Xenopus tropicalis: one gene and its partners. The protein of the gene in region 1 purifies or fractionates together with the protein of each later gene. This does not show direct contact. Links are inferred from orthologs where the notes say so. Each region holds a gene or a part of one and is shown in the gene's direction. Other genes may lie near its edges.

Evidence for each region.
Region 2: the proteins of prpf19 (region 1) and prpf8 purify together in Homo sapiens (affinity purification with mass spectrometry; 5 studies listed by BioGRID and IntAct, with this or other methods). This does not show direct contact. The link is inferred for Xenopus tropicalis from reciprocal best matches to the Homo sapiens genes PRPF19 and PRPF8.
Region 3: the proteins of prpf19 (region 1) and prpf3 fractionate together in Homo sapiens (co-fractionation; 3 studies listed by BioGRID, with this or other methods). This does not show direct contact. The link is inferred for Xenopus tropicalis from reciprocal best matches to the Homo sapiens genes PRPF19 and PRPF3.
Region 4: the proteins of prpf19 (region 1) and snrnp200 purify together in Homo sapiens (affinity purification with mass spectrometry; 3 studies listed by BioGRID and IntAct, counting the BioPlex papers as one, with this or other methods). This does not show direct contact. The link is inferred for Xenopus tropicalis from reciprocal best matches to the Homo sapiens genes PRPF19 and SNRNP200.
Region 5: the proteins of prpf19 (region 1) and snrnp70 fractionate together in Homo sapiens (co-fractionation; 3 studies listed by BioGRID, with this or other methods). This does not show direct contact. The link is inferred for Xenopus tropicalis from reciprocal best matches to the Homo sapiens genes PRPF19 and SNRNP70.
Region 6: the proteins of prpf19 (region 1) and snrpa fractionate together in Homo sapiens (co-fractionation; 3 studies listed by BioGRID and IntAct, with this or other methods). This does not show direct contact. The link is inferred for Xenopus tropicalis from reciprocal best matches to the Homo sapiens genes PRPF19 and SNRPA.
Region 7: the proteins of prpf19 (region 1) and eftud2 purify together in Homo sapiens (affinity purification with mass spectrometry; 3 studies listed by BioGRID and IntAct, with this or other methods). This does not show direct contact. The link is inferred for Xenopus tropicalis from reciprocal best matches to the Homo sapiens genes PRPF19 and EFTUD2.

The regions. Positions count from the first base shown.
Region 1 is NC_030683.2:60,625,979-60,630,682, reverse strand, and holds the start of prpf19 (pre-mRNA-processing factor 19), read left to right. Parts: upstream 1-1,457; 5' UTR 1,458-1,586; coding exon 1,587-1,605; intron 1,606-2,489; coding exon 2,490-2,639; intron 2,640-3,757; coding exon 3,758-3,834; intron 3,835-4,704. UniProt on the Homo sapiens protein: Ubiquitin-protein ligase which is a core component of several complexes mainly involved pre-mRNA splicing and DNA repair. Required for pre-mRNA splicing as component of the spliceosome.
Region 2 is NC_030678.2:45,530,646-45,534,689, forward strand, and holds part of prpf8 (pre-mRNA-processing-splicing factor 8), read left to right. Parts: intron 1-334; coding exon 335-522; intron 523-720; coding exon 721-959; intron 960-1,260; coding exon 1,261-1,407; intron 1,408-1,569; coding exon 1,570-1,780; intron 1,781-1,876; coding exon 1,877-1,993; intron 1,994-2,141; coding exon 2,142-2,389; intron 2,390-2,491; coding exon 2,492-2,671; intron 2,672-2,754; coding exon 2,755-2,890; intron 2,891-2,971; coding exon 2,972-3,141; intron 3,142-3,375; coding exon 3,376-3,505; intron 3,506-3,873; coding exon 3,874-4,020; intron 4,021-4,037; exon of another isoform or gene 4,038-4,044. UniProt on the Homo sapiens protein: Plays a role in pre-mRNA splicing as core component of precatalytic, catalytic and postcatalytic spliceosomal complexes, both of the predominant U2-type spliceosome and the minor U12-type spliceosome.
Region 3 is NC_030684.2:127,698,170-127,702,757, reverse strand, and holds the start of prpf3 (U4/U6 small nuclear ribonucleoprotein Prp3), read left to right. Parts: upstream 1-1,388; 5' UTR 1,389-1,548; intron 1,549-4,588. UniProt on the Homo sapiens protein: Plays a role in pre-mRNA splicing as component of the U4/U6-U5 tri-snRNP complex that is involved in spliceosome assembly, and as component of the precatalytic spliceosome (spliceosome B complex).
Region 4 is NC_030679.2:125,100,043-125,104,579, reverse strand, and holds the start of snrnp200 (U5 small nuclear ribonucleoprotein 200 kDa helicase), read left to right. Parts: upstream 1-1,193; 5' UTR 1,194-1,286; coding exon 1,287-1,331; intron 1,332-2,453; coding exon 2,454-2,617; intron 2,618-4,537. UniProt on the Homo sapiens protein: Catalyzes the ATP-dependent unwinding of U4/U6 RNA duplices, an essential step in the assembly of a catalytically active spliceosome. Plays a role in pre-mRNA splicing as a core component of precatalytic, catalytic and postcatalytic spliceosomal complexes.
Region 5 is NC_030683.2:113,685,053-113,689,096, forward strand, and holds part of snrnp70 (U1 small nuclear ribonucleoprotein 70 kDa), read left to right. Parts: intron 1-1,135; 5' UTR 1,136-1,144; coding exon 1,145-1,291; intron 1,292-1,379; coding exon 1,380-1,442; intron 1,443-2,195; coding exon 2,196-2,250; intron 2,251-2,434; coding exon 2,435-2,499; intron 2,500-3,367; coding exon 3,368-3,430; intron 3,431-3,801; coding exon 3,802-3,883; intron 3,884-4,044. UniProt on the Homo sapiens protein: Component of the spliceosomal U1 snRNP, which is essential for recognition of the pre-mRNA 5' splice-site and the subsequent assembly of the spliceosome. SNRNP70 binds to the loop I region of U1-snRNA.
Region 6 is NC_030684.2:78,497,941-78,502,537, forward strand, and holds the start of snrpa (U1 small nuclear ribonucleoprotein A), read left to right. Parts: upstream 1-1,585; 5' UTR 1,586-1,819; intron 1,820-1,880; exon of another isoform or gene 1,881-1,902; intron 1,903-2,207; 5' UTR 2,208-2,226; coding exon 2,227-2,299; intron 2,300-2,437; coding exon 2,438-2,610; intron 2,611-3,277; coding exon 3,278-3,451; intron 3,452-3,530; coding exon 3,531-3,710; intron 3,711-4,234; coding exon 4,235-4,323; intron 4,324-4,597. Other genes in the region: UPF0692 protein C19orf54 homolog, read right to left, coding at 1-52, 1,155-1,227. UniProt on the Homo sapiens protein: Component of the spliceosomal U1 snRNP, which is essential for recognition of the pre-mRNA 5' splice-site and the subsequent assembly of the spliceosome. U1 snRNP is the first snRNP to interact with pre-mRNA.
Region 7 is NC_030686.2:17,870,098-17,874,141, forward strand, and holds part of eftud2 (116 kDa U5 small nuclear ribonucleoprotein component), read left to right. Parts: intron 1-420; coding exon 421-486; intron 487-632; coding exon 633-668; intron 669-2,746; coding exon 2,747-2,837; intron 2,838-4,044. UniProt on the Homo sapiens protein: Required for pre-mRNA splicing as component of the spliceosome, including pre-catalytic, catalytic and post-catalytic spliceosomal complexes. Component of the U5 snRNP and the U4/U6-U5 tri-snRNP complex, a building block of the spliceosome.

The DNA.
Region 1 (4,704 bases):
TCCCGATAGACGCGAGTGTGACATCATGGGGAGAAGAAGAGCCGGGGGACGCAGCAAGAGGCAGCAGGCGGGTGGGGGGGGGAGCAGGGGGAGCCGCAGGGAGGATGTTGCGGGGGAGTTGAAGGATGTTGAGGAGGACGCTGGGAGTGAGCTGGAGGATACTGGGGGGGAACTGGAGGAAGCTAAGGGGGAGCTGGGGGACGCTGAATAGGATGTTGCGGGGGAGCTGGAGCATATTAGGGGGGAGCTGAAGGATGTTGGGGAGGATGCTGGGAGGGAGCTGGAAGCTGGAGGAAGCTAAGGGGGAGCTGGGGGATGCGGGGGAGCTGAAGGATGTTGGGGAGGATGCTGGGGGGAGCTAGAGGATACTGGGGGGAGCTGAAGGATGTTGGGGAGGAAGCTGGAGGATGCTAAGTGGGAGCTGGGGGATGCTGGGGAGGACATTGCGGGGGAGCTGGAGGATGTTGGGGAGGACGCTGGGGGGACCTGGAGGATACTAGGGGGAGCTGGAGGATGCTGGGGAAGATGCTGAGAGGGAGCTGGAGGATGCTGGGGAAGGTGCTGGGAGGGAGCTGGAGGATGCTAAGGGGGAGCTGGAGGATGCAGGGGAGGACGCTGGGAGGGAGCTGGAGGATGCTGGGGGGAGCTGGAGGATGCTGCAGTGGGGAGCAACCCATACTATGGGGACAATGGGGGAGGACCAGCAATGTTTAAGGGGGCCCTGGGCTGGCTAGCAATGTTTTAGGGTGTCCCTGCCCTGCCACCAATGCAAAACGTAACACCTGGCTACCAATGTCATGATATACAGGTGCTACAGTGCGTAATGAAATTCTTAGGGCTACATATGTGATAAATGTCATAAAATTATTGGGGCCACCATGCCTATCTTCTGGTGCACTTTGTGTGTGTTATGTTTTTCAGGTGTGGTTTTGTAAAATGGGCCTGGTTGGGGGGCGTGGCCATAAAGTGGGCGTGTCCTGAAATATTTGTCCCTCCTTCTACTTTTCAAATGTTGGGAGGTATTTCTGAGATAGATGTTTTAGACTGCTAACAGCAGGCTTTCGCCTAAATAACTTATCAGGTAGTCTGTCTATGCAAATCTTGTATGTATTCCGTTTACCCTCAGGTTGCCGACTCTAAAGGCAGCCTAAGAATTGATAAAGATAATAAATTAATATAAATAGCACCAAACATGCATATATGTGGGGAAGCCCTTAGATAGTAAACACAACTAAAGAAGAGACTGACACGTATGATAATCACAAAGCGCTGTGAAATACTTCAGTGCTGCCAGGAACTGCAGCTGTACACATCCGGCTACACTACGCCGAGTCTATCTCTTCTTTCATTGCTTTACGTAAAACGTCTAGCTGTAGAGCGGATGTAGAAACAAAGAAAACCGGAAGTACTTTGCCGACGCTGGTTACACGCTGTTTCCAAGTTTACCTCGGTAGAACGGAGATAGCCCGCCAAAGGGCCTGCCCAATTTAAGTCTGAAAACAGGGAGTCCTAGCTGAACAGCATCACTAAAAAGAAAACAACGCTATTTCTCGCCTAACCATATTGCTCAAAGAGATACCTGGAAGATGTCTTTGACATGTTATAGTGAGTGCAACATAAAACAGCAGTAGAATAGCACTACCGGATTCATAAAATGCTTGTATAAAGTTGCTGAGCATCGGCTGTGTGGATGCAACGTGTCATTTGATACGATATTTGGTATACAGGTCCTATATATAGAAATTCAATGCAAGTTATTTAATAGTAGAAAATATTTTTCCCTAAATTTGTGTTTATGTCAACAAAAGTTGTATTGTATCTGGAGCTTGCTAATTGTGTTAAGTTAATATTTTTTGTAATATCTTGATGTATGATTTGTATACATTGATGTATGCCCCAAAAAGTTGGCGCTCTCTTTGGGGTTAAGATTTTAATCACTACAAGGATTAGGTAGAGGAAGGCAGCTCAAAGATATATTTAATTATAGTTCACTTAAAAGTAATTGATATAGATAAGTGGTATTTTTTTTTTCCCTCAAGTTTGCTTTTTCACATTAGTATACTCAGAGTATCCAAATTAATTGTATTGACATTGATTCAGGAGCGCGGACAGGGTTTGTATATACATTGATGTATAGTCATATTTAAAGCATTCAGAAAATGCAAGCAGGGTTATTAGCTGGGGATAGCTCTGTTAGAAATATGGTATTGTGACCATGATTTAGAAATATAATGTAAGAGATTGTAATTTGTGTACCTTTGCTTGCATACAAAACATTTAATTCATTAATGTATAAAATGGTTAGACTCCAACTTTAATGAAAGGTACTAAATACTTAATGCTTTTGTTCCTACCACTTGAATTTTAGGACATAATTGTATTTGACAGTACATGTGTATTTAAAACCTATGTTTAGACTTATAAGCAATTATGCCATTTATAATCTAAACATGTTTATAAAAATTCACATTTTTCTCATTTGCCTGTAGTCAGTAATGAGGTCACAGATCGCCCCTGCATTTCCCCGGTGTCGGGTCATATTTTTGATCGCCGCCTTATTGAAAAGTATTTGGCTGAAAATGGGACAGATCCAGTAACAAATCAGCCCTTAAGTGAGGATCAGTTGATTGACATTAAAGGTCAGTAGAGCTGTGAAAACGTCTAATGCTATTTTTCTTTGTGTTCAGTTTAATGGTACAGGTATGGGATCCCTTATCCAGAAAGTTTCCCATAGACTCCATTATAAGCAAATAATTCTAATTTTTTCCTTTTTCTCTGTATTAATAAAACAGTGCCTTGTACTTGATATATTTAATCCTTATTGGAGCCAAAACTATCCTATTGGGTTTATTCAATATTTAAATTATTTTTAGTGGACTTTAGTTATGGAGATCCAAATTACGGAAAGATTCCTTATCCGGAAAATCCAAGGTCCCAAACATTCTGGATAACAGGTCCCATACCTGTATAGGGAATTTACTTGTCATTCACCTGTAACCCCCCCCCCCCCCCAAAAAAAAAATTAGCCATACCTAACACAAAAAAAAACCAAAAAACTATAATTTCTGTTGGGTCATTTAAAGGTATTATTTTACGTTTGCACAACGCACAGTAATGCTAATTGTAGCTAGAGATGGCACATTGCTTCCAAAGCCAAATTTTACATTTTAATTAGTGTATGTTCCCAAACTTCACTAAGTGAATACACATAATTTTACAGATTTTTAGAAGAAAAATAACTGAATTATGCATTAGTAAGCCAATTTCTTGCTTTTAATTAGCCTATAATATATGGATCCACATATTTTTGTATTGCACTTTTTGTACACAGTTCTATGAAATACTTTTACAAAACTCTTAATGTTATTTTGGTTGACTGTGTCAAAAGACTTAAAAAGGGGAACTTCTATATCGTGGTTGGGCCTTACATATAGGTCATATTACAGACTATTTAAATTTTGTCTTTATTTACCTGTCTTTGAGCTACTGTATGTAAAATGTAAACTGGTAACAAGTTTAGATATTTATAATACCTAGACCTGTCGCAAAAAAAAATTGATTAGTAGATCTACATAAGAATAAATAGATTGTGCTGTGTATCCATTTATACTCTAAATTACACATGAGTGGTCTAAACAGATAATAGAACAACATTTTTTAAGTTTAATTCTTCTTTAATCACAGCAAAGAATGGAGCGATGTTTTTACTTTTTCTTCAATTAGTTTATTGAAGGGTCTTTTATCCTGTTTCTTACAGTAGCCCATCCAATTCGTCCTAAACCACCTTCTGCAACCAGTATTCCAGCAATCCTGAAATCATTGCAAGATGAGTGGGTTAGTATCTGGATCCTTCACTTTGTGCTTTCTCTCCTTACTGTCTATAAAATGTGTTGGTGTAGATTAAAAAAAAAAAAAATAGAACATATGTATTGCACAGCTGATTATTAATAAATAGATTTACAAAGCGTAACTGTATTCATTAGCCATGTGGTAAAGTGTATTGTTAGTGTTTAATGTATCAGGTTTTTTACTTGTTTAAATTAGTAAAGGGTAAATCTGCTGGGTATATTGTTTTATTGTTTTATACATGTGTTCTTTGCCTCAGTATATATTGTTTTATACATGTGTTCTTTGCCTCAGCAGAGGCAAAATTATGGAAACCTAATAGAGGTTTTGATATATCTTTACTGTTTCCTGCAGATACATTATTGCATCATAAGTGAGAATATGAAAATTACTGAAATTATTTTGATATCATGATGTTAAACATAACCACATAATACTTAAATATGGCAAGGTTTTGACCTTATGTACAGTAGTATTTGTTTTTTATTCATTTTTTTTCTCTAATAGTGGCAGCAGTAGCAATATATATGCACTGGCGTTCATTTGGAGGGGTTAAACTTGATGGACTTTGGGGTTTTTTTTCTACCCAGTTTAATTATGTAACCAGTTTCACTTTGTGCATGTTCATAGTTTGTTAGTAGATTGTGAGAGGGTTCGATTAAAGAAAAAAAATAAGACTTTTTTTTTCGGCTTGAGCCCCATGTGTGTCTACATTATCTATCTTTAGATGTGCTTTAATCATTGTGCAGCGAATAAGTTCGATATTATGTGGAAGGAAGCTATATAAATCCCCCAATATGGATCCATTTTTACATAAAGAAATCAGACCTACAGATTGTTTTTGCTGTGGAAAAATGG
Region 2 (4,044 bases), on another chromosome or scaffold:
TTCAACATAAGGACAGACAATATACGGAGGGGCAAAATGAAGCATTGATGGAGTCATAAGCACCATAGTATCTGATGCATTTGTCCCGTGCACTAATACATTTGCATAATTTCTAAAGCCACAAAATGTTCTTAAAATTCTAGCTATAATTTTGTTATTGCTTAATAATAGAAGTTTGTATCCCTGGGTGGGACTACGTTATTGTTATCAGAATTCCTATTGCACATAAGGTCTTGACCTTTTGAGAAACAAATGGTTTGCAGTAATACTGGTCTGTGCTTCATTCTCAGGGATTTTTCTATCTGCTCTAATTTTGTTGGATGTCTCATTCTAGGCATAAATAACCTGCAGGATGTTTGGGACACCACAGAAGGTGAATGCAATGTGATGCTGGAGTCACGCTTTGAAAAGATGTATGAAAAGATTGACTTGACTCTGCTGAATCGTCTGCTGCGTCTAATTGTTGATCACAATATTGCTGATTACATGACTGCAAAAAACAACGTTGTGATAAATTACAAGGTCAGTGCACACCCGGATGCTGCCAGTAATGATAAGGGGTATAGCAGCCTACTCCAGCTGGTAATATGTGTCTAAAAACAATCCCTGCAAACTGGTTCTTCCACCTTGAGGCTTTCATAAAATGTTACAAGTATATATACATTTATTTACATTAGTCTTCTTACAAGCTGAATCTTATTGTTTTACTTTGTTTTGCAGGATATGAACCACACAAATTCCTATGGCATTATTCGTGGTCTCCAGTTTGCTTCGTTTATTGTCCAGTACTATGGTCTGGTGATGGATCTTCTGGTTCTTGGTTTACACAGAGCTAGTGAAATGGCTGGGCCACCACAAATGCCAAATGACTTTCTAAGTTTCCAAGATGTGGCAACAGAATCGGCCCATCCTATCCGCCTGTTTTGTCGATACATTGACCGCATTCACATTTTTTTCAGGCAAGTAATTTATCCCTGGCTTAATTTAGCCTGAGACTACAGTATAGAAGCACTTTCTGAATCTTATGTGAACTTAAGTCTTTACTCCTGGAATGGGGTCTTAGTGGGAATGCTTCATGTTCTTGAGACTTCTTTCAGGGAACAGAGGGTATTCAGACACTTTTGGTTGAAGACTTGATCATCTGTGATCAAACATTTAAGGCCTCCTTGGCTAACTGATGTCCATCGGCCAGTGGGCATTAAATGTTTTCTATTTTTCAAACACTAGTTCATTTTATGATTGATTTTTCTTTATTTGTAGATTTTCAGCTGATGAAGCCAGAGACCTTATTCAGAGATATTTAACAGAACATCCAGATCCCAATAATGAGAATATTGTGGGCTACAACAATAAAAAGTGTTGGCCAAGGGATGCCAGAATGCGCCTCATGAAACATGATGTAAATCTGTAAGTCTGTTACCCCTCCCCCCACCCCCCATTACTCTAACAGTCCTTTATGCAAGCCTTGGCCAGTCATTTTTATAAGTGTCCTGCAGTAGTTATCCTGTAATCCACAACCCAAGCCTCTTGGTAAAAGGAGCAAGTGTTCACTATTTATCTTATTTTCAGGGGCCGTGCAGTGTTTTGGGATATAAAAAATAGACTGCCTCGTTCTGTCACCACTGTGCAGTGGGAGAACAGTTTTGTGTCTGTGTACAGTAAAGACAATCCAAACCTGCTGTTTAATATGTGCGGCTTTGAATGCCGCATACTTCCCAAATGCCGCACAAGCTATGAAGAGTTTACGCACAAGGATGGTGTCTGGAACCTGCAAAATGAAGTAAGTTGCCACAAAGACGCTTAGGTTGCTACAAAAGAGCTTACCTTTATTACCCTTACCCTAAGATAAGAGATTAATAAAATATTTTTATTTTAGGTGACCAAAGAACGCACAGCTCAGTGCTTCTTAAGAGTTGATGACGAGTCCATGCAGAGATTTCACAACAGAGTCCGTCAAATTCTTATGGCTTCCGGGTCCACAACCTTTACAAAAGTAAGCACAAAGCAAATAGACCAGTGTTTTTGCAAATGCATAGATTTTGTGTTACCTGATATAATAAGAAAATAAGATATTTTGGAAACTCAACATTTTTTTTTGCTTAGATAATACCTTGTATCTAAATACAGTTTTTAACTTCCAGATTGTGAACAAGTGGAATACAGCACTTATTGGCCTAATGACTTATTTCCGTGAGGCTGTGGTCAACACCCAAGAACTACTTGATCTGCTGGTGAAATGTGAGAACAAAATCCAAACAAGAATAAAGATTGGGCTGAACTCTAAAATGCCAAGCAGGTTCCCGCCTGTTGTTTTTTACACACCAAAGGAACTTGGAGGTTTGGGCATGTTGTCCATGGGACATGTTTTAATTCCACAGTCTGACCTAAGGTATTGTAAAATATCTTACATTTTCAGTATTAGCATAAGTAGCTTTTTTTTATTCTGTAACTTGTTTCACCTCTTAACTTTTTTTTTTTTTTTTTTTACTAGGTGGTCTAAGCAGACAGATGTTGGCATAACCCATTTCCGTTCTGGCATGAGTCACGAGGAGGATCAACTGATTCCTAATCTGTATCGTTACATTCAGCCTTGGGAAAGTGAGTTTATAGACTCTCAGAGAGTCTGGGCTGAGTATGCCTTAAAGAGGCAGGAGGCGATTGCTCAAAACAGGTAATATGTCCCACCCTGATTGCCAGCATAAGTATATACTGTTTTGTGAAAGTTGCACTAATGTGAGCAACACTCTCTTTAAGACGCCTGACGCTTGAAGACTTAGAAGACTCATGGGACAGGGGAATTCCACGTATTAATACACTGTTTCAGAAAGATCGGCACACACTTGCTTATGACAAGGGTTGGAGAGTTCGCACAGACTTTAAACAGTACCAGGTAATATAGGCTTAGCATTCGTTGTATTACTGCATGTGGTGCTCCTACATCGACTGAACTTAATGTTCTTTGATCCTGCAGGTGCTGAAACAAAACCCGTTCTGGTGGACACATCAGCGTCATGATGGAAAGCTATGGAATCTGAACAACTACCGCACAGATATGATTCAGGCCCTTGGAGGGGTGGAGGGTATACTGGAGCACACGCTATTTAAAGGCACTTACTTTCCCACATGGGAGGGTCTTTTCTGGTAAGGAATCTCTGGATCACTTTAAATACTTGTTATATTAATACATTATTATTTAATAAGCCTTTATTTCAAAGCCTTTAAAACAATCTTGTAGGTCTATATAGCTTTAGGAACATTATGGATCGTGTAATCCATTATGGGCTTGAGCTGTCCTTTAAAAAGCCCTCATGGCCTTGAACACCTTCTTCCAAACATTAAATATGTCTTATTTTTATGTACTTTCACATTTACCAGGGAAAAGGCCAGCGGCTTTGAAGAATCAATGAAATGGAAGAAACTGACCAATGCTCAGCGTTCTGGTTTAAACCAGATACCAAACAGAAGATTTACACTTTGGTGGTCTCCCACAATCAACAGAGCCAACGTACGTATAAAAAGTCTGAAAGAGGGCAAATAAAAGACATGAAATCACAAATACATTAAATCGCAGATCATTTTGGGGTGGTTTTCAACCATTTTTAATGAAATCCACTTAGATAACTATGTATAATAATGCTCTTAAAAGTAAAATTGCGGAGTAGTCTGCCACGTGACATTTTATGGACTTACAGAATATCTGAACGTCTGCTGCAACCATTGTTTTCTTTAAGCTGCACACAGCTTTGTGGATGAAACCAGTCTTTCAGTGAAAATTAAACCTGTTAGATACTTTTATTAATATACCATCTAAAAGTTCTTTAGATTTTTGTGAAACAACCTTATATGCTGATGATCTCTTTATTGGTTTTTCAGGTCTATGTTGGATTCCAGGTGCAACTGGATTTGACTGGGATTTTCATGCATGGCAAGATTCCTACATTAAAAATCTCATTGATTCAGATATTCAGGGCCCACTTGTGGCAAAAGATTCATGAAAGCATTGTCATGGATTTATGTCAGGTCAGTCAGCTGCCTGGTCATTTT
Region 3 (4,588 bases), on another chromosome or scaffold:
CTGACTTTGAACCTTCTGTGCATGTTTTTGGAAGCCTCCCATAGGACTCAATGGCACTCTGCAGCTCCAACCTGGCCCAAGGAAAGTCTCCCATAGGGCTCAATGGCACTCTGCAGCTCCAACCCGGCCCAAGGAAAGTCTCCCATAGGGCTCAATGGCACTCTGCAGCTCCAACCCGGCCCAAGGAAAGTCTCCCATAGGGCTCAATGGCACTCTGCAGCTCCAACCCGGCCCAAGGAAAGTCTCCCATAGGGCTCAATGGCACTCTGCAGCCCCAACCCGGCCCAAGGAAAGTCTCCCATAGGGCTCAATGGCACTCTGCAGCTCCAACCCGGCCCAAGGAAAGTCTCCCATAGGGCTCAATGGCACTCTGCAGCTCCAACCCGGCCCAAGGAAAGTCTCCCATAGGGCTCAATGGCACTCTGCAGCTCCAACCCGGCCCAAGGAAAGTCTCCCATAGGGCTCAATGGCACTCTGCAGCCCCAACCCGGCCCAAGGAAAGTCTCCCATAGGGCTCAATGGCACTCTGCAGCTCCAACCCGGCCCAAGGAAAGTCTCCCATAGGGCTCAATGGCACTCTGCAGCTCCAACCCGGCCCAAGGAAAGTCTCCCATAGGGCTCAATGGCACTCTGCAGCTCCAACCCGGCCCAAGGAAAGTCTCCCATAGGGCTCAATGGCACTCTGCAGCTCCAACCCGGCCCAAGGAAAGTCTCCCATAGGGCTCAATGGCACTCTGCAGCTCCAACCTGGCCCAAGGAAAGTCTCCCATAGGGCTCAATGGCACTCTGCAGCTCCAACCTGGCCCAAGGAAAGTCTCCCATAGGGCTCAATGGCACTCTGCAGCTCCAACCTGACCCAAGGAAAGTCACCATACCGAAGCTTGAATGAATCCGAAACTTTTGTACTCTGCGCGACAATACCGTTTTGTCACGTAAATTTTGATGCATAGTACAAAAAAGTCTTGCAAATTAGCAAAAAAATGGTGAAAATACGTACAGTATGAAATATGATTTTTTTGTATTTGGAAGCGATCATACTTTGATAAATGGGCCCCTTAGACCAAAGGTTGGCAAACTTTTGTGGGGGATTTCTTTTTAATAAACAAAACCTGAATGCTATTTTTTAATAGTTTAAGGTCACAGCACCCCAATAGGAATTGGCCAGAATCCAAATTGACAGTATTTGCTACTCTTTAACAGGGCCACTATCACACATTGTCTTAGTTCTCTACTAGAGTCTTTTATGAAGAAAATTTGTACTGAACAATGCTAAATGCTGTATATTTGGCTATATTGTAGCTTCAGCAATAGTATTCCGTGGGTAACATCAGCCCGCCAAATCCCATCTGTGCGGAGATTGCGCGTTGCTAATAAAGTTATTGGGAAAAGAAATCCCAGCGTGCAGCGGGTTTCTCGGACACGTGATGCGGGTCAGAGTGGGCGCCAGACTGCATGCTCGTAGGACTTCCGGTTCCGTTTTGACGTCGGGTCTCCGTTAGTCCCCGGGTAGTGAAATCACAGGGAGAGAGGAGAGTGGCGGCTCTGTGGGTGAGTATGGGAAGTAGTTAGCGTGTAAGCTGTGTAACATTGCGTTTGGGCTGGTGTAGGCCTGAAAGGCCTCGGCCTGGAGTAGCTATTGATGCGGGGGAGGGAGGGTGTTGTCAGGGATAGATTTACAGATCGTACGTTCTGTGCGATTCCACGTAGGCAATCGTTGTATCTGTATTCGCGCTACGTTAGTGCAGTTTATCGTCATATAATGAAGCGCAAAATAGGGGCAGCCCAGTTTAGGGAAAGATACCAAACTTTGAGTTTCAGTTGAGGCACCACTTACACCGCAGGTTGGCAGGCCGGTTTGGGTCAGGACCTTCTGTCGGAACAAACATTAGGCTGGGGTCCACCGGAGTATCAGTCATAGTAAGTGGCCTTCCAGGAGTAAAACATTCTTCCCACATTTTCCCTATCTGCCCTTTAGTTGGGCCCCCTAAGAGCTTCAGCAACACCGCCTGGGAACCACTGACTTACACTGGTTGTATTTTGCTGTAGTTTATTGTATCTCATGGGTTTCACAAACACATGCGGATTATGTAATAAAAGGCACTAAATTTGCCCAGGTGCAATAACCCATAGCAACCAGTCAACAGGTATCATTTAATGGATACTTTTTATTGGTTGCTGTGGGTTACTGCTCCTGGGCAAATTTAGTGCCTTTTATTACATATGGGGGATCATTCCTACAGACCTCCCCCTGAGAACACGAATCGCTGAAATTTTTGCATGCCACACTGACATACCTATTCTGACCCCAGTAGGATATTTGCAAAAAAATCTGTCCCATTGAGAAACAAGAAATGTGTTGAAGCCAGGATGCTACTGAGGGTTGCTTAAAGGAAAACTATACCCCCGAACAATGTAGGTCTCTATAAAAATATATTGCACAAACAGCTCATATGTAAAACCCTGCTTCATCTAAACAAACCATTTTTATTAATATATACTTATTTAGTAGTATTTGCCATTGGGTAATCCTAAATTGAAAATTGCCATTTTAAGAATTAAGGGCCGCCCCCTGGGATCATAGGATTCACAGTGCACACAAACAAGCCAAGGCACACATACATGCTAGGCCCCATCAGCCAATGAATGGGCAGAGTTCTGCCTTTTACTCCCACACTACTTCCTGTTACAGTTAGAGCTGCATTATTTCCTGTCAACTGATCTCTGATTGAACACACAGCCCATCACTAAATGGCGGCTCAAGGGAAAAAGATGTAAAATGGCAATATTTACTGATATATATATTCCGGTTTGGTGAGATTCTTTAATAGTTCACTTAACATAATATAAACTGTTGGATAAGTATTCATTTTGTGGGTATAGATTTCCTTTAAGGTTGGTTATATTCCATAAAAAAGTAGTATGGGAATTCCTTTTGGGTTAAAAAAAAGCTTTTTGAGGTCAAGCATTTTGTCTGCTAGCCCCTAAACCTGTTATAGCTTTACAGATATAGGAAAACTATTTTTCATATTTATTTTCATAGATATTTGGGCTAGTAAGCAAGTCTTTATTCCAAATCTTGCTGTATAGGATCAATTTTTTTTTTTTAGCTCTAACTAGGGGAGCAAAGGGGCATTCCCTAAAGATCACCCCCGAATCTGTATTCTCCTTGCCCTCCACCATTATAAGAAGTGGGGAACATACTTCTATAGAGTTATTACAAGTACATAAAGTACTAGAATAGTAAATGTAACATTCACTAAAATTAGCAGGAATATACTAAAATGAAGTTAGAGAAAGATAATGAATTTTTCTCTGTGGGTACAGAGTGATACTTTGCCTCTCTGGGCAAATGCTAAATTCCTCCCACTGACACAGCATGCAGTTGAATGCAAACATTTGGTCCTCCCTGACCAAAATACATATTAAGTTAATTTTTCTAATTGAAAAGGCAGTGATCAAGCTGAAGGTTTTGGAATGGCCCTCACAATCCCCTGACTTATCTGCAAGCCTGTTGGTAGATCATAAACATTCATAGCACAGGCCACAGAATATCTCTGCAGGGATCTGCAAGGAAACGTGGGCAAAAATCCTTGAATAGAATTTTGTTCTTTTATTAGGCAAAAAACTTATTTTGGGATGACATGTCCTTTAATTACATATGCCATTTGGCAAGGGGTGCCCAAACTTTTTGAGGAAAAACATGTTTAATATGTCTGTTATCTATCTTCTTTATTAATAACATTGGCAAGTTTCCTGAATATAAGCAGATGCGTATATGTCTATACGTATATATCAGTCTGTAGTACAACTGAATCTGTTAGATTTGTCTGTTTGCAAAATGGGGTACATATAGGGCAGCATGGGGGGTTAGCTTTGCTGCTTCCAAGAGCCTTGTCTTGGATTTGATTCTGACCACATACAAAAAAACACCGTTTAGTGGAAGCTCAAGAATAACATGAGGCCTGGGTGCACGTTGCCCATACTTGCTGTTTGAGGAGACAACCCAGGATATGAGCTGGCACTTAGAGACCAACAAACAAATTATAATGTAGACTTTATTACACTAACCTGTCAGGATACAAAAAGCATTATGCCTTTCATGATAAAGTGTACAAGGCTTTTTAGAGGGGTTATGGAGTAAAAGCACTGTGTTTGCCCAGGAGCAGTAACCCATAGCATTTACTGGTCACCTGTTTGAAAGCAAACATCTTATTGGTTGCTATGAGTTACTGCACCTCGGCAAACATGGTGCCCTTTTATTACATATAGGCGTTTCTGTCCTGATATGTTCTTGTAATTAAGTTTTCATTTTATTTACAATTCCTATTTGTGGGTATCCTTAAGTGTCTGATCATGTCTTGGGTTTGATTTTGACCAGGGCCTGATCCAAATGGCTTTGTATGTTCTGCCCATGTTTGTGTGGGGATTCTGCCATTGCTCCTTTTTCAGTACAAATAGATGCAGGTAGGCTAACAGGCTTCTGATGAAAGTGACCCTACTGTATTTGTATAAATGTGGGAAATTAAGGTGCAAGCTTTACCAGGCAGTGGCTGTTATGTGGTTCAGTATTCTCTGTACTACCGTAATA
Region 4 (4,537 bases), on another chromosome or scaffold:
CCTATTGGTTTGAAAAATCCTAGATTTTCAACTGGATGTATACATTACACCGAGCTTTACAGCGCATTTTTTTTTTTTTTTTTTGTGTGTCACATGAGGTTGAACTCCTGCAATAAAGGAGTATATTTTAAAGTCATACATAGTTCACTGAAAACCTATTCATACCCCTGACTATTGAATAAGAAATCCTGCTCTCCTTGGTTTTTCTTTTAAAGCACTTAATCTCAAAAAAAATTTTTAATGTGACTATTTTGTTAAAATAATATTGTTATATGTTGATTAATACCAACTTTGTACACTGTTCGAAAGTCATTTTGGCCCATTATGTGAAGTAGTTGTGCTTCAGGTTCTGGTAACTGAGATGATCCTTGTCATCGCCGTTTTCAAATAGCATCACAGATTCTCAGGTGGACTGGGACTTGGACTATGCCATTGCTTGAAATTTGGAAGAAGAGCTTTCTCTGGGTCCCCATCTGTTTTGCCAAACACCAGTTGTACTTTTACATGGTTCTTTTGGGGCAATGGCTTTTGTGTCTTCCTCCTATACAGGCCAATGTGTTATGCAGAACCCTTGATATGGCATGTCAATACCTACATATACAAACCTGATCCGCGCTTCTAAATAAACTAGTGATTAATTACAAAATGTGCTTTTTCCATTCATTAAAAAAAAAAAGGGTTTACCTCTGTGAGCTATATAGGAAAATTATTATGTAGTTGAGCTGCCCTCCTCTAACTAATCCAAAAAGTGCTCCTTATACTAACCTTAAAGAGTTGGCGCTCATGAAACACTACCAGTAATAAAATCAATCTATTTATTGCACAAAAATGAGAAATTCATATATTAAAAAATATAGGTGTTTTTTACTGATATTTTTTAATATATGAATTTCTCATTTTTGTGCAATAAATAAATTGATTTTATTACTGGTAGTGTTTCATGAGCGCCAACTCTTTAAGGTTAGTATGTCAATACCTACAGTAAAACGTGGGGATATATAGTATAATGTAGTGTAGCTGCTTTTTATCAACAGGGACGGGATATCTTGTTAAACATATATTTAAGTGCAAAATACATGGAGCTGAAACAACTATTTCAGCCTCCTAATACAAATAGATATCCTTTCACTGGTCGTATGTGATTTTCAATAAAGTTGCAAGGAAAAAAATGGTCGACGGAAGCGGCTTATGCTTGTACCGGAAGTGGAAACTCAGGGCCGGAAACTTCGTCTGGAGCGCGTTGTTTGCCCTGCGAGTGCGAACACGGCCGGGCAGCAGAGTGAACCATGGCGGATGTAACAGCCCGAAGCCTGCAGTATGAATACAAAGCGGTGAGTTTGTTAGGGGGAATATGTTAGCAACGAGAAGTGGAGTTGGGAAGATGTTAGCATGAATATTCAGCCTGTGGTTCGCCACGTAGAAGTGCGAGTTGTAGTTCGGCTACAGGTGCGGAGCTTTAGGGTGAACGCGTAGGGCTTCTCTGGAACATATTTAATAGAGTAAGCCAGTGTTCTATTGGGACTCCTGTAATCGCTGAGTCTGCTTCCTTTGTAATTGTATTCTTAGAAGGAATTGAACACAGTGTTGACGTAGCTATTGTTGAATATTAATAGGGGGCCGCCAGTTTGAGTTCTTACACAGTTGCATACAATGCCATAGCTTTAGCTGTTTCATTGCTTGTACTCTTAGCTGCATTACAGTTTCAATATGACACACAGTTGGCAGCCAATGTTTACATCAGACCATAGTTACATAGGGTTGAAAAAAGACCAGAGTCCATCAAGTTCAACCCATCCAAGTAAACCCAGCACACCTAACCCACACCTACCAATCTATACACTCACATACATAAACTATATATACAACCACTAGTACTAACTGTAGATATTAGTATCACAATAGCCTTGGATATTCTGCTTGTTCAAGAACTCATCCAGACCCCTCTTATAGGCATTAACAGAATCTGCCATGCATTTTTAGACACAACAATTATGCTTTCTGATAATGCATTTGATAACTGATGTCTCTCATTACATTATTACATTAAAATTACATGGTTTATATGGCATGCATGCCAGGTTAGAGCTTATAAATATGTATTGGGTCATAAAGAGTACAAGAGAACCCTGATTTTAGTTTTCCAGGGTCAAACTGTAAATCTTGGAAACTGTAAAATTGTGATTCTACTGTAAGAGAGGTAAAGAGAAAGTAACTTAAATTGTCTCCTTATTTCTTTAATGGATCTTATTGCAAAAGTGTGTGTAAAGCACAGCAGACATTATTCCAGGGAAAACTACTAAAAATCTAATTAGCTATAGTTAATTAGAAAACAAATATGGCATTGTGTTATTGGAAGCAAAAAAGGTAAACATGAACTTAATTAAACATTAGCTTCATAGCCCCTAGCTTATTGCACTGAATTCTAATTTATTTATTTATTTTTTGCAATGCAGAACTCTAACCTTGTACTTCAAGCTGATCGCTCCCTGATAGACCGTACCCGCAGAGATGAGCCCACAGGAGAGGTTCTCTCGTTGGTGGGGAAGTTGGAAGGAACTCGCATGGGGGACAAAGCTCAAAAAACCAAGCCACAGATGCAGGAAGAAAGACGACTTAAGTGAGTGGCAGTGCCAAAATGTCTTTCTGTAATAAATGTGATAGGTGTACAGGGTGGGCCATTTATATGGATACACCTTAATAAAATGGGAATGGTTGGTGATATTAACTTCCTCTTTGTGGCACATTAGTATATGTGAGGGGGGAAACTTTTCAAGATGGGTGGTGACCATGCTGGCCATTTTGAAGTCGGCCATTTTGGATCCAACTTTTGTTTTTTCAATAGGAAGAGGGTCATGTGACACATCAAACTTATTGGGAATTTCACAAGAAAAACAATGGTGTGCTTGTTTTTAACGTAACTTTATCCTTTCATGAGTTATTTACAAGTTTCTGACCACTTATAAAATGTGTTCAATGTGCTGCCCATGGTGTTGGATTGTCAATGTCAATGCGCCAATTGTGCATGTAACACTGTGCATCTGAAGTTATAGTAGTAAATATTAGTTTATTCCGAATAAGCTGAAATGGATAAAATAATGACATTCAGGTGAGAATGAATTGTTCTGCACTTTCCTTCAGGTCTTCTGTGAAGTTCTGTTTATGTACTGTATTTATATAGAACTACTTGTTTTTATCTTTAACCCTTATAAGGGTAATATTTTTAAATACCAGCCATTCTTCCAAGGCAATTTTCTTTTGAAGGATATATTTAGTGAAATGTCAATTGTTTGAAATTTCAGAGTAGTGATGATTTTAATTCAAGTACATACAATATAAAACTGCTGTATATTTACCACTATGCTGTAGCCTTATAGAGTATGAATTTGTTAATAAAATATACGTTTTGCCATAAAAGGTTTTGCAGTATTCTAGGAATGAAATTAGAACAGATGCCTTTCAGATTCAGAAAATGTATGTTTATATGTGTTGTGTATATATATAGATGATAGTAACCATTTACTGTACCAAGAAATATTTTGTCCATGTGATTTGATTATTTTAAAGGGGACATATCGTGTAAAAAACAGTATTGTGCCAATGATTTGTACTGATCTAAATATAGAAGAAATGTGCTTTAAAAAGTAGTGTTTTAGGCTGATTTATTGGCACTGGTCATGCCAATGTGTTCCTCTTCCTTCTGCCTTTCCTGGGTTGTGCAGGGGGGCCAGCACACTACACTGTAGGATAGGAACCAATCAGCAGCTAGGCTGACCTGATAGGGAACTGAATCCTGTATTTGCTTGTGTGACTGCAGGGCTGTGATTGACTTTTATTTTTTTAACATACCGGTAGGTTAATTGGCTCTGAAAAAATTGACCATAGTGTGTGAATGGGTCCTTTGGAACCAGGGACTGATGTAAATGATGTATAATTCCTATGTCTGTGTCATGGATATATAAGTAAAAGGATAACAATAAACATTTAAGTAGGACTGAAACAAAGCATGGCGATAATATATGGAATGATAATGTTTCTTGGAATCCTTAATATAAACCCCTGAACTGTGGCTTATTGTCAAGATGATATAGGAAAATCCAGGCAGTTGTAAGCTTCCCCATATATGCTTAAATTAAAGGAGTAGTTCTCCTTTCAAATGCTTTTCAGTTGCTTTCAGATAGTACACCAGAAATGAAGACTTTTTTTCCAATTGCTTTCAATTTTTTTTAATATTGAATTTTACAGTTTTTTTTCACCTCATGTCTCCCTGCAGCAAATCTGCAACTAATGAGTTGATACATTTTACATCTTTGACCCTGCTGAGTGTAAGCTGAGTTTCATTAAAGTCAGCTGTTCTAATTGATACAATAGTTGCTTACATTTATATACTAAAGAGAATCAACTAATGTAGTAACAGTTCTGCACCTGGATTACTGAGCTGACAGACTGAAACACTGGATACATTTAAAGGGGTAGTTTTCATTTAATCTCTAGTATGTTATATAATATCACATTCCTAGCAACATTAAACATTTTCTTC
Region 5 (4,044 bases), about 53 Mb from region 1:
GTTTGAGACAATTTGCAGTTGGTCTTAATTTTTTCTTTGTAGTTTTTCTATTTTCAATAGTTTTGTCAACTCTCTGGTTTGGTTGCTAGGCTCCAAATTACCTTAGCACCCAGGGAATGATTGGAATGAGAGACTGATAATTGAATAGGAGAGAGACAAAGTAACAACAATAAAAGTGTAGCCTCACAGAGCAGTAGGTTTTCTTGGTTTAGGGGCTCGATGACCCCCCATTTGAAAGCTACAACGAGTTTGTAGAAGGTGGCAAATAATTCAAACTATAAGCGAAATAATAAGGACCAGTTGAAGAGTTTCTTAGAATTGTCCATTTTATAACATGCTAAAAGTTAAATTAAAGGTGAGCCACCCCTTTTAATGATCCAGTATGCTTTGCCAATTAATACATAAAGGTGCAAGAAATGTACTCTGGTTGCCCTGGGGTGTTTGTTTTTTGATACTTGGCGTCTAATTCCATCATAAAATGGGGAGTATATAGGAATTAAATCTCTGCACTTAGGGATGGTCATGACATTTTTATAGCCCTGAAAAAAGGGGCTGGGGGGTCAGATCTCAATGATCAAAAAATACAGAATAAAGACATTTACGCTGTAAATTAAGGAATAATCCTGCTTTCAGATTGGACTGTGTGCCGTTTCACTTGCAAAAAGTGTAAACATAGACTAATGAGGAGTTCCGGGTACAGAGCAATAGCTGTGATCATGCGCACACTGACTTTTCCTTCAACAGTAGAAAATTTATTTAAAATAAGGTGCAAAACTGAAGTCATAGAGCAGATTAAATGTGAGGAGATTTAATACATGTTATTAAAATTAAGTGTAAAGATAGCCATTCAGCTCCCTTCAGATCTATTAATCAGTTTATCTGCACGTGTATGAGGCTCTCCGATGGGCCTCTCTGGCCAATATCTGGCTGAAAATCGGGCATGGTTGATTTTCCTGTTAGAACGAGGACTGCATCGGATCATTGATCTGGACCTCGCCCCAGTGGCATGTATCCCAGTCATTATCAGATCATTTGGCCCTAGGAGCTATTTATATTTTCATAAAGATGATTTCAATGTTCTTAAAATATCTTTTGTGTAAACATTATTCAGTTGATTTTTTCTTATTCTATACAGGTCTTCAGGATGACACAGTTCTTGCCTCCAAACTTGTTGGCGCTCTTTGCACCTAGAGATCCAGTACCATACCTCCCTCCTTTAGATAAACTACCCCATGAAAAACACCACAATCAGCCATACTGTGGGATTGCTCCTTACATAAGAGAATTTGAGGTGAGTACACAGCTATATGAACCCGCTAAATGATTTATACCTGCAAAGGAAATTACATAAATCTTATAATAAATGTTATTGTACACAGGACCCTCGAGATGCTCCACCTCCAACTAGAGCAGAAACCCGCGAGGAGCGGATGGAAAGGAAGGTGAGATGTTCACTGATAATACTGTATTTTTGAGAGCATAGATGTTTTACATTTCTTTCTGTGGTTATCTTTGTGTGCCCACAACTCTAGAAGTTTGTAAACATTCACTGTCATTTTTTCAAGTGGCATATAACGTTCAAAATGGGGCTTAGAGAATCAACTAGACATGAGGTTCTTATATACAGAGCAGTTTTTGCACTGAAAAAGAAAGAGCTTCCATTTTTAGCAAACTACAAAGTGGATATGGATGTTAGTAGATATAGTAAATTGATCAGGGGGCAGCAGGACCATATATAGGTTCTTCAGTTGGAATTTACTAAACCGGATAAAAACATTTTAAAAGAACAGTTATTACTTGACTGGGAAGCTCAAATTATTTTTTTTGTCAGCAACCAAAATATATAAAAGTTAAATGACTCAAGCTAGGATTTATGATACAGGAGGTTTTTGCGATTATCCACTCTTCTACTATAGTAGGTGGGAAAGTGGTCAGGAACAGTGATTCTGCTTTTATCATCCAACAGAAGCTTCTGTATTAGACTGCATCTTTTCTGGTTAAGTGAAAAAATACCATTCCATTTGTGGAGTGGCCCCAAACTCTTGGCCAGACCTTTTTTTTTTTTTTTTTTTTTTTTTTTGCAGCGATTATTTCTACTTTTTCAAATGATAGTAGGCTTGTCTGTTGTGCTAAAATGACCCTGCAGCTGCTTTGTAGTGTGAATTACCTTAAAACCTTTTAAATCACTTTAACAGCGAAGAGAGAAGATTGAAAGAAGACAGCAGGATGTCGAGAATGAACTTAAAATATGTAAGTGCTACTTCAAGTAACATTTTCTGCCCTTTTTATTTACCATGCTGTCTTTCAGTTGGAAAAGTATAGTTTGTATCATTGAGTTTATCTTAGTTTGTCAATGTTTTCAGTCAACATTACATATTTGGAAGACCGTTCATAAAATATTTTGTTTTTAATTTCTGTTCTTTTCACCTGATAGGGGATCCACACAATGATCAGAATGCTCAAGGAGATGCCTTCAAAACCCTTTTTGTTGCCAGAGTGGTAAGTTTTATTTGTGCTCTTGTGTTTCTTGTCAGAATAATCCTTAAGTCACTGTAGTAGCAGTCAGGAAATTTAGGTAGCAGGTAACTGTGTGTGGGTTTTTATGTATATGGTTAAGTGGTGAGGCTGTGATGTAGGATCTTATGCTTGAGACCTTGATTCCGTTCCTTTTGGCAAATCCTTGTGACCTTGGACTTAATCTCTTGCTGTCCCAGGGTGTATGTAATAGCTGCCTAGCTGGCTGTAAAAGCACTTTGAGTGCTGTGGGGGAAAAGTGCTATATAAATGATTTAGACAGACCTTTGCTCCAAAATTCTTAAGGTAGCATACCTTTATTATAGTTAAGTGTCTTAAGGTGGCCATAGATCGGCATATTTAAACGATTTGGCTCGATATGGGGACCCCTGGCTGAAAATTGGGCAGGTTTTTTTTTTTTTTCCTTCAGTTCGGGGACTGCATCGGCTCATTGATGTGGTCCTTGTTCCGATGGCTCCTATTCCCATCTTGTAATCCAGTTGTTTGGCCGAATGATTGGATTACTCCGATATCTCCCGCCTTAGGTGGGAGTACTGGGAGAAAGATTCTCTCATTTGGCGAACTCTCCAAACGAGCGGATCTTAACGTGTATGGCCACCTTTAGAGCATGTTCTAGCATATCACTGACGATACTTGAATCTGTTCTCCATTGGGGTATGATGTCTTTGGTTCGCTATATGTTGAACAAGTCCTGACATCTTTACACCAATTCAGCTACAGGAGGGGTGCTAAACCCTGTAGAGTTTTGGTCAGAAAATATGACTTTTCCTGGTGCCTTTTGGGGGAAAAAAGCCTATAGCATTTTTCATGAACCGAATGATTTGTTTTTCAGAATTATGATACAACAGAGTCTAAGCTACGACGTGAGTTTGAGGTGTATGGACCTATAAAACGGGTATGTATATTGTTCGTGTTAAAAAAAAATTTTTGACTTCACTTAAAACAATAAGACAAGCTTTTCTAGTTGTACTACATGACCTGTTTGGCCTGGTTCACGCATTTATTTATACTGTTATGGCATAAGTCATAAGCTCCATAGCCGTCTGTAAATAGTTTAGAAAGTTTTGTCTCATTTTCTAATTCTAAAAGCAGAGAGTCCAATAGTGTGTGGTTGGTGATTTTGTGCTGATGTATGCAAAATGACAACTAGAAAGCATTCTGGCCTTATACAGTATCTGTTAGCTGACAGCTTTACTCATGGGATGATTGGTGTGTCGAGGGCGCCAATCGGTTTTCATTTACAAATGTAATTTCTTTCTATTTTAGATTCATATGGTATACAATAAGCGGTCTGGGAAACCCCGTGGATATGCCTTCATTGAGTATGAACATGAAAGAGATATGCACTGTAAGTTTTTAATTCTCTAACAAAAAATTAGTTTTGTTTTAGCAATTTTAAAGAAAATGTTTTTACTTTTGTAAGCCCTTTGCAATGAAGGGCTGTGTTCCAGAAGGTAAGTAACTGTGAACCATTCGGGTGGGCACTCGAATTCCAGTAATCCCCCTTGT
Region 6 (4,597 bases), on another chromosome or scaffold:
ATGACCCCTGCTTGTTGAGCAGTTGGGTCTTCATTGGTATGTGGCATAGGTCCTGTAAAAACATTTCACATATCATAAATCATTTCCCACATTGTTTATTTAGCAGTGATACAATGACTGTATTCTTTTATAACAGGTGTTAACATATATTTCTCAATTATCCTGTTTTGCAAGAAGTTGTATGTTCTCCTTGTCTGTGTAGGTTTCCTCCCACACTCGAATATACACACAGGTTAACTGGCTCCTGATAAAACTGGTCCTGCTGTGTGTGAATTGTTAGCTTCACTGTGGCAGGAACTAATGTGGTGATGTATAATCTCTGTAAAGGGATGGTGCTATATAAATAATAATAATGACCAGAAAACTGAAGCTGACTCCAGATACTTTACTACTCATAACCAGACTACTACACTGGCAATTAGTACAGGGAAGAGCAGTCTGGAGTCTGTGGGTTCCTCAAGCATTATTATATAGTATACTTTGCAATATATAGGCAAAGACTATATAGCCCACATTCTATTAGTATGTGATATTTAGGCCTCAGTAGTGGATATCAAAATATTGTCACCAGAACTATGGCAAATATACAATTCCAAGCAAATATCTTGCAAGGAGGATTCTGAGCTTTGCAGTTCAAGTAGCAAATTCAGTCTCTATACCTGCCCCTGCAAATTGTGCTATGAACACCTTTTTGCAGCCTTTGGACAGAACTGGGGTGCAAAATGCAAGCTATTGCAGTGACCCATTGCCCCTGGTCTGGTTACTGTAAAAATAGATCTTGACCTTGCTAAATTCTCTACTCTGACCCTGAACTGTGGGTGTCACTTCCTAGCAATTCAAAGCAACAGGTCATTGTATCAACTCCCCAAGGAAGTCCTAACTGAAAATCTATTTTATTACAGGCGCATTAAACAGATCATTTTAATACAAATTTGGGGTTCTAAAAAGACTTGACTTTGGGTCCCTGTAATTCTAGTAATGCCATTGCACGGAGATGAAATTGTGTTGCTACTGGGAGGGATTGTGTGAGAGATTAAACATTTTCCGAGACGCTGAGGAATATGTCGTTTCTAAACCTTACATTGCAGATTTAGCTACAGGTTGTAAACAAGATCTGACACCGTACTTTATAGCATGTTGGTGAAAAAAACTACCAGATCCGGCTTCAGTTCGGAAACATTCTTTGACCACGTGTGTACTAAACCATATATGTATCCCCTTGTTCATCTGTACAGGTTAATTTATTCATTTTAATTGCCAACGATAGTATCTTGAAAACTATCACCTAAGCTATAAACGCCATGAAATCATATTCACGAACACCTACAACAATAGCAAAACAATATAGTCACGTATGCCGCAGGAGTCCGTTTCCTGTTTCCGGGAGGAATATATTAGCAGCTGCACCGCGTTCTACGCCTCGGCCTCCGATTTCATTGGTCGCGCGGCTTGCTTTGGGTTATTGCTATAGGGTGAAATGGCTTTCACTTATGGCTTGCAGCCAATCGATGAAGATTTGGGTAGGTCACCAATGATATACCTGCAAGACGTCGAGAGTTGCTGTAGCAACGCGGCCTAAGTTAGACGTAAATTGGGCGTTGAATGAATTTAGGTACAAGGCCTTCCGGTGGCGGCAATCTCAGTTAATCACATTGGGTTTTAGTGCATGCGACTTGCGTTGCTATCTTGAAATATTTCCTGCTATTGTACGTTCCATCCGGGAAGTTTATTTCTTTTCCAGCGTACCGTATTCGTATCGTAGCACAAGCCCAGCGTTTAATTTGGCGGCCCTTTTAACTGTATCATATCCAGGCTGAGGGTAAGTATGCTTCCGTCCCGTTCATTGTTATATCTTCCCGCTTCCTAGCTGTGCCACAACAACTACGGGCCTCTCACAATCAGGTCCCGGCTGTGATATTTCAACTTTAATGTTACCCTGTGTTCTTTGCATGGCTGTGTCAGGGGCTGTGTAGTTTTGTTATGATCTGGGTGTTGATAATACTAATAATACTATGTTACTACTATATGGCTCGCAAAGGAAAATATATTGTAGACCTTAGTTTGCACAAGTAAATAAGTCTGCGTGTAGTATAGGCACTGGTATATTATATGCACACTCTGCTCATACATAACTGGGCTTATGTACAGACTATACCAGGGCATTGTTCTATTTTAAGATGCAATTAACCCTTTTTTTCTCCCTTCAGATTAAGTTGTTGAGGAAGTATGGCTGTTCAAGAAGTCAGGCCTAATAACACAATCTACATCAACAACCTGAATGAGAAAATTAAAAAAGATGGTGAGTTAAGGCTGTAGCAATCCCTGGAGCGCAACCTAAATCTCTGTACCAGTGTTTACATTACTGCAATTTAGTGCTATTTAGAATTACTTGGTCTTTGAAAATCCAAAGATTTGACTTTTGCTTTCTTCTCTTTAGAGCTAAAGAAGTCTCTTTATGCCATATTCTCACAGTTTGGTCAGATTCTGGATATCTTGGTGTCTCGCAGCCTGAAGATGAGAGGACAGGCTTTTGTTATATTTAAAGAAATAAGCAGTGCCACAAATGCTCTGAGGTCAATGCAGGGGTTTCCCTTTTATGATAAACCAATGGTTAGTATTTATTGTAGTTTTTTTCCCATTTTTCATTTACTTTACTTCAAAGTGTTCTTTTAGGATAAGTCTATGGTTATAGAGACATGAATGATATCTGACACTTTATGGAAAAATGGTCAGTGACAGTGGAATGACCCATATATTTATATGAAAGGACATGGGTGTATATACCATCTTACTGGCAGATTAAAGGACTAGAAACAATTTTCCAAATCCCCCTGCCTATAAAGTAAACATACCTTTGTACGTGCATATTTGGGGTGTATGCTAATTTTCATTGAGGGGTTGAGAAGAAACTATGCACTCCCATATTGAAAAGGATATTGTACATAAGTTAATAACATCTTCAATAACCATCCTTCATAATATTTTTACAGGGCTCCTGGGTTAATACTTGTGAATGTGTGGGAGTTTACATCTGCTTAGGTAGTTTGCATGGATAGCTGTGCACATTGTTGCTAAAGGAATCCCACACCCAGTGCAATTAAATATATGGCTTGTTTGTTTATCTGTGCTCATTATTTCTTTAGAAAAAAAGAACTATAAAGCCAAGTTGGGTAGGGTGGTGGTGGATACATTCTGTTCAGTTTCCATACAGTATCTCCTCCCATTCCATTAAAACTTGGTTATTTTAGTCTTTATGCTGATTTTGCTTTTACTCCAGAGAATACAATATTCAAAATCCGATTCTGACATCATTGCCAAAATGAAAGGTACCTATGTGGAAAGAGACAGAAAGAGGCAGGAGAAGAGGAAGGTGAAAGGCCAGGAAGCTCCGGGTGTTAAAAAGGCTTTACCAGGTGCTGCGTTGCTTCCAGGCGTTCCAGGACAGATGGCGGTAAATACATACAATTTTTTTTTTTTCTTGAAAGAAACCCGTTATGTTGTGCACAGCCATAATTTTATTTATTTTTTAGGGCATGCAAAATATACCTGGTATGACTCAAGCTCCACGCATGATGCATATGGCTGGGCAGGCACCCTACATGCATCACCCTGGTATGATGCCACCACCAGGGATGGCACCAGGACAGATCCCACCAGGAGGCATGCCCCATGGACACCTGATGCCTGGGCAGATGGCACCCATGCAGCCAGTAAGTTAGACTACATCACCAGATCTGTCTGTGGGTGATAGTCTCGCTAGCTTTTATAAAGAGTACCTGATGTCTGCTAGCTTAACTATTCTTTGCAGCTTTCGGGGGAGGGGGTGCGGTGCTTAAAGGAGACATATTGGATAAATGGGGAAAACCCTAATATTGTAGGCAATTATGAATAATATATGGTGCTGGTTTCCCTTTGTGCTTAAAATTAATCCAATCTGTAAAAATGGCCCCTTTATTGGAGCTCCCTATAGATCCTCTCTTCTGACCATGTTTAAAATGAAGAGTGGGCGTTTCCTAATGGTCCCTGCCAGAAGCACAACTTTTTTAAGCGCAATCCTTCTATATCTAGAGGAGTAAAATTCACTGGTACATTCATTATTTTTATAGGATACATCTCCTTTAATATACTGGCAACTCCCAATAAACCTGGTGTCTTTCAAGAGCTGTCCACAGAAACTGCCTGTGTCTGAGTTTTTCAGTCATAACTTTGAATGCTGTTTTTTATTTTTTTTTAGATTTCTGAAAACCCACCTAACCACATCCTCTTCCTCACCAACCTTCCAGAGGAAACAAATGAGCTAATGCTATCTATGCTGTTTAACCAGTAAGTATTGCACAAAATATAACTGTTGTACACTGTCGTAGTTGCATAAAAACACCCTTGTCATATTTCAGTATTGCAGGGCAAAATTATGGAGTGGAAATTGTCCACAAAAAACCTTAATAAAAATATAACTTAGAACCTACAGAATAGCCGGTCTTTTCCAAGTCTGGCATGTTTTGCTTTTGCCCTTACTGTAACTATTTGGCTAGCATCCTGCCTATAGTGAGCAATTGGCTGTAGTTTTGTAGTTAACCAATTGTATTGTAAGTAATGC
Region 7 (4,044 bases), on another chromosome or scaffold:
CTAATAAGTAGGGTACATAGTGCCATCAATTCTGAAAGCTGCCCAGTTCTGTGTAGGCTCCTTTTCGTGGTTTAAAATAAAATGTTCCTACTAAAAAGCTGAAAGGGCCGGCAGCTTTAAAAGCCTGTAGACTAACAAGGCATACCATGGAATCAGAATGGATGGTGAAAACTGTCCCACTTGATACACAAAGATCAAAATTTAGTCCTGATGATGATAATGGCTATAACTGCTAAGCGCTTGATAGCCACTATTCATTATAGCTGTGTTCCACTGGTGTTTGTCACTCGGGGGCTGGGCTTTTACTGGGTCATTGTTACTGTAATGTCACATTAAGATATATTGCTATCAGGGTGTCTCCCCTCTTATTGCTATATAGCGGTTGGTAACATCTGACATTACATTTCTTTTTCTACCCAGACCTGTTTTGTGGACTGTTTGATTGAGCAAACGCACCCAGAGATCCGCAAGCGCCATGACCAAGATGTGAGTAATCCAGATTTTTTTTCCTGTCTGGCCCCTGTTAATGGCAAGGAAAAAATTATTTAGTTCGTTGCTGTTTGTTTGAAAACTTACAGACAGAGATGTCTCCAGTATTTCAATCCTACTGATCTGCTGTTGTTCCCTTTCAGCTTTGCTACACAGATATTCTTTTTACCGAGCAGGAGGTAAGTGGCGGTACTGTACTACTGTTATAGATGGTCTAATGTAGTGAAAGGCAGCCTGTAGCTGTCATGTTACTTCATCTCTAACATGCCAATGCTTGTTAGGTTATTGAAGAGGTGATGCAACACCCAAACAATTGTGCTATACTCGTATAGAGCTACAAATGCACAAGTTAAAAAGTAGATTTTAACTTGAAACGATTCCTTATTCAGGGAGTGGTTACAGTGCTGTTATGACCTGGTTCAGACCTAATTTAGAGGTTTTCAGTCTTTGACATCCATTATTTAGTCATTTGGTCATCATGTCGTTCTGCAAATAAGCCATCATCCTTACTCTCTAGCTGGACTTCAGGGAGCATCTAGGAGAGAAAATTGCCATTCTCCTCCACTTTTACCCTAACTGATCTTTATGCCACTACATAGTTACATAGGGTTGAAAAAAGACCAGAGTCCAAGTTCAACCCATCCAAGTAAACCCAGCACACACAGCTATACTTACCAATCTATACACTCACATACATAAATTATATATACAAACATTAATACTGACTGTAGATATTAGTATCACAAAATCCTTGGATACTATTCTTGTTCAAGAACTCATCCAGGCCCCTCTTAAAGGCATTAACAGAATCTGCCATTACCACATCACTAGGAAGGGCATTCCACAACCTCACTGCCCTCACCGTGAAAAACCACCTATGCTGCTTCAAATGGAAGCTCCGTTCCTCTAATCTAAAGGGGTGGCCTCTGGTGCGTTGATCGTTTTTATGGAAAAAAAGAACACCCCCTATCTGCCCATAATCCCCTCTAATGTACTTGTACAGAGTAATCATGTCCCCTCGCAAGCGTCTCTTTTTTCCAGAGAAAACAACCCTAACCTCGACAGTCTAATAGCTTAAATCTTCCATCCCCACTACTAGTTTAGTTGTACGTCTCTGCATTCTCTCCAGCTCATTAATATCCTTCTTAAGGACTGGACCCAAAACTGCACTGTATACTCAAGGTGAAGCCTTACCAGGGACCTATAAAGAGGCAAAATTATGTTTTCATCCCTTGAGTCAATGCCCTCTTTATACAAGACAGCACTTTATTTGCTTTAGTAGCCACAGAATGACACTGCCTGGAATTAGACAACATGTTATCTACAAAAACCCCTAGATCCTTCTCCATTAAGGATACCCCCAACACACTACCATTCAGTAGATAGTTTGCATTTATATTATTTCTACCAAAGTACATAACTTTGCACTTGTCAACATTGAACCTCAATTTCCAGTTTGTTGCCCAGTTTTCCAATTTTGTCAATTCGCTCTACAAAGCGGCAGCATCCTGCATGGAACTTATAGTTTTGCACAATTTAGTGTTGTCAGCAAAAATAGAAACAGTACTCTCTATGCCCACCTCCAGGTCATTAATAAACAAGTTAAAAAGCAAAGGACCAAGGACTGACCCCTGCGGTACTCCACTAACAACACTGGTCCAATTAGAAAATGTTTCATTTACCATTAATCTATCCTTCAGCCAGTTCTCTGTCCAATTACAAATATTATGTTCTAGGCCAATATTCCTCAATTTGCTCATTAACCTTCTGTGAGCTACTGTATCAAACGCTTTGGCAAAGTCCAAGTAGATGACATCAACTGCCATTACAGCATCAAGGTTCCTGCTCACCTCCTCATAAAAGGCGACTAAATTAGTCTGGCAAGATCTGTTACGCATAAAACCATGCTGGCACAAACTAATAGTATTGTGAACTGCAATGTATTCAAGTACCCTATCCCTTATTACCCCTTCCAAAAGCTTTCCTACTACTGATGTCAGACTACTTTATGCTCCTCTGTGGGGGCCAGCCCCACAGTTTGGAAACCACTGGTCTAGTTTTTTCTTTATAGGCCATAGCAAACTGGAATGTTGCCATGTACTAACCTGAGCAGTATTCGTTTCATAGCAATTTCCTGTCCTTCGTAAGTCTTTTCCTCTGCTGCTGTACTCTTCATTAGATAATGAGTTTGTGTTTAGGCACTTCATATCTAAGTGCACCTGCACAAGATAATGCCAGATTAATCTTCTTCCGTTAGAGAGGAGTTGGTATGAAGAGTACACCTGTGACAATTGTGGTTCCAGACACCAAGGAGAAGTCTTACCTGTTCAATATTATGGACACACCAGGTCAGTTACAGAACTAGATGTTTTTATTGGTGCTTCACAAAAAATCTACGCTAGTTAATAAATATATACCTCTTATTAACTAAATTATACCTGATTGTTTTCTCTGCTCTGTCCCCTTGTTGTGGGCCGAAACCTGGAGCTTTTTTCTTCATGCTGTACTATTGGTGCTTATTGGAGTACTAGCATTTAGTGGATTTTATGTGACAGCCTGCGGCTGAGTGGTTACTGCAAATATCTGCAGATGTACCCAAGTTCAGTGCCATGGAGCTAAACACAACGTGGCAATTTCTTGCTACTAAAATGCTATAACCAAACTAATGCACTGTACACAGCTGTGTAAAGGTGGCCATACACGGGCCAATTGTAGCTGCCGATATCGGTCCGTTGGACTGATTCGGCAGCTTATCGGCCCATGTAGGGGCAGGAACGACGGGCATGTCCTACCGATATCTGGCCTGAAATTGGCCAGATATCAGTTGGGCAGGTTAGAAGATTTAGTCGGATTGGAGACCGCATTGGCTCGTTGATGCGGTCCCCGAACCGACTGCGCCCATTGCCGTTGTTATAATTTGATCGTTAGGCCCCAGGGCCAAACAATTGAATTAGCCTACAGTTGCCCAATATCGCCCACCCGTAGGTGGGGATATCGGGAGAAGATCAACGCAAATCTTAACGTGTATGGTCACCTTAAGATTTATGTTGCAGGTGGCTGTTCATTATGACTAGAATCTGGTATCCTAACACTAGCAATGTAAACATACTACAAGGTAGATTAAGAGTTTGGAATTTGAGTGGCTGAATATAATAGTTACATAGTTACATAGTTACATAGGGTTGAAAAAAGACCTGTGTCCATCAAGTTCAACCCATCCAAGTAAACCCAGCACACCTAACCCACACCTACCAATCTATACACTCACATACATAAACTATAAATACAACCACTAGTACTAACTGTAGATATTAGTATCACAATAGCCTTGGATATTCTGATTGATCAAGAACTCATCCAGGCCCCTCTTAAAGGCATTAACAGAATCTGCCATTACCACATCACTAGGAAGGGCATTCCATAACCTCACTGCCCTCACCGTGAAAAACCACCTACGCTGCTTCAAATGGAAACTCCTTTCCTCTAATCTAAAGGGGTGACCTCTGGTGCGTTGATTGTTTTTATGGGAAAAAAGAACATCCCCCAACTGCCTAT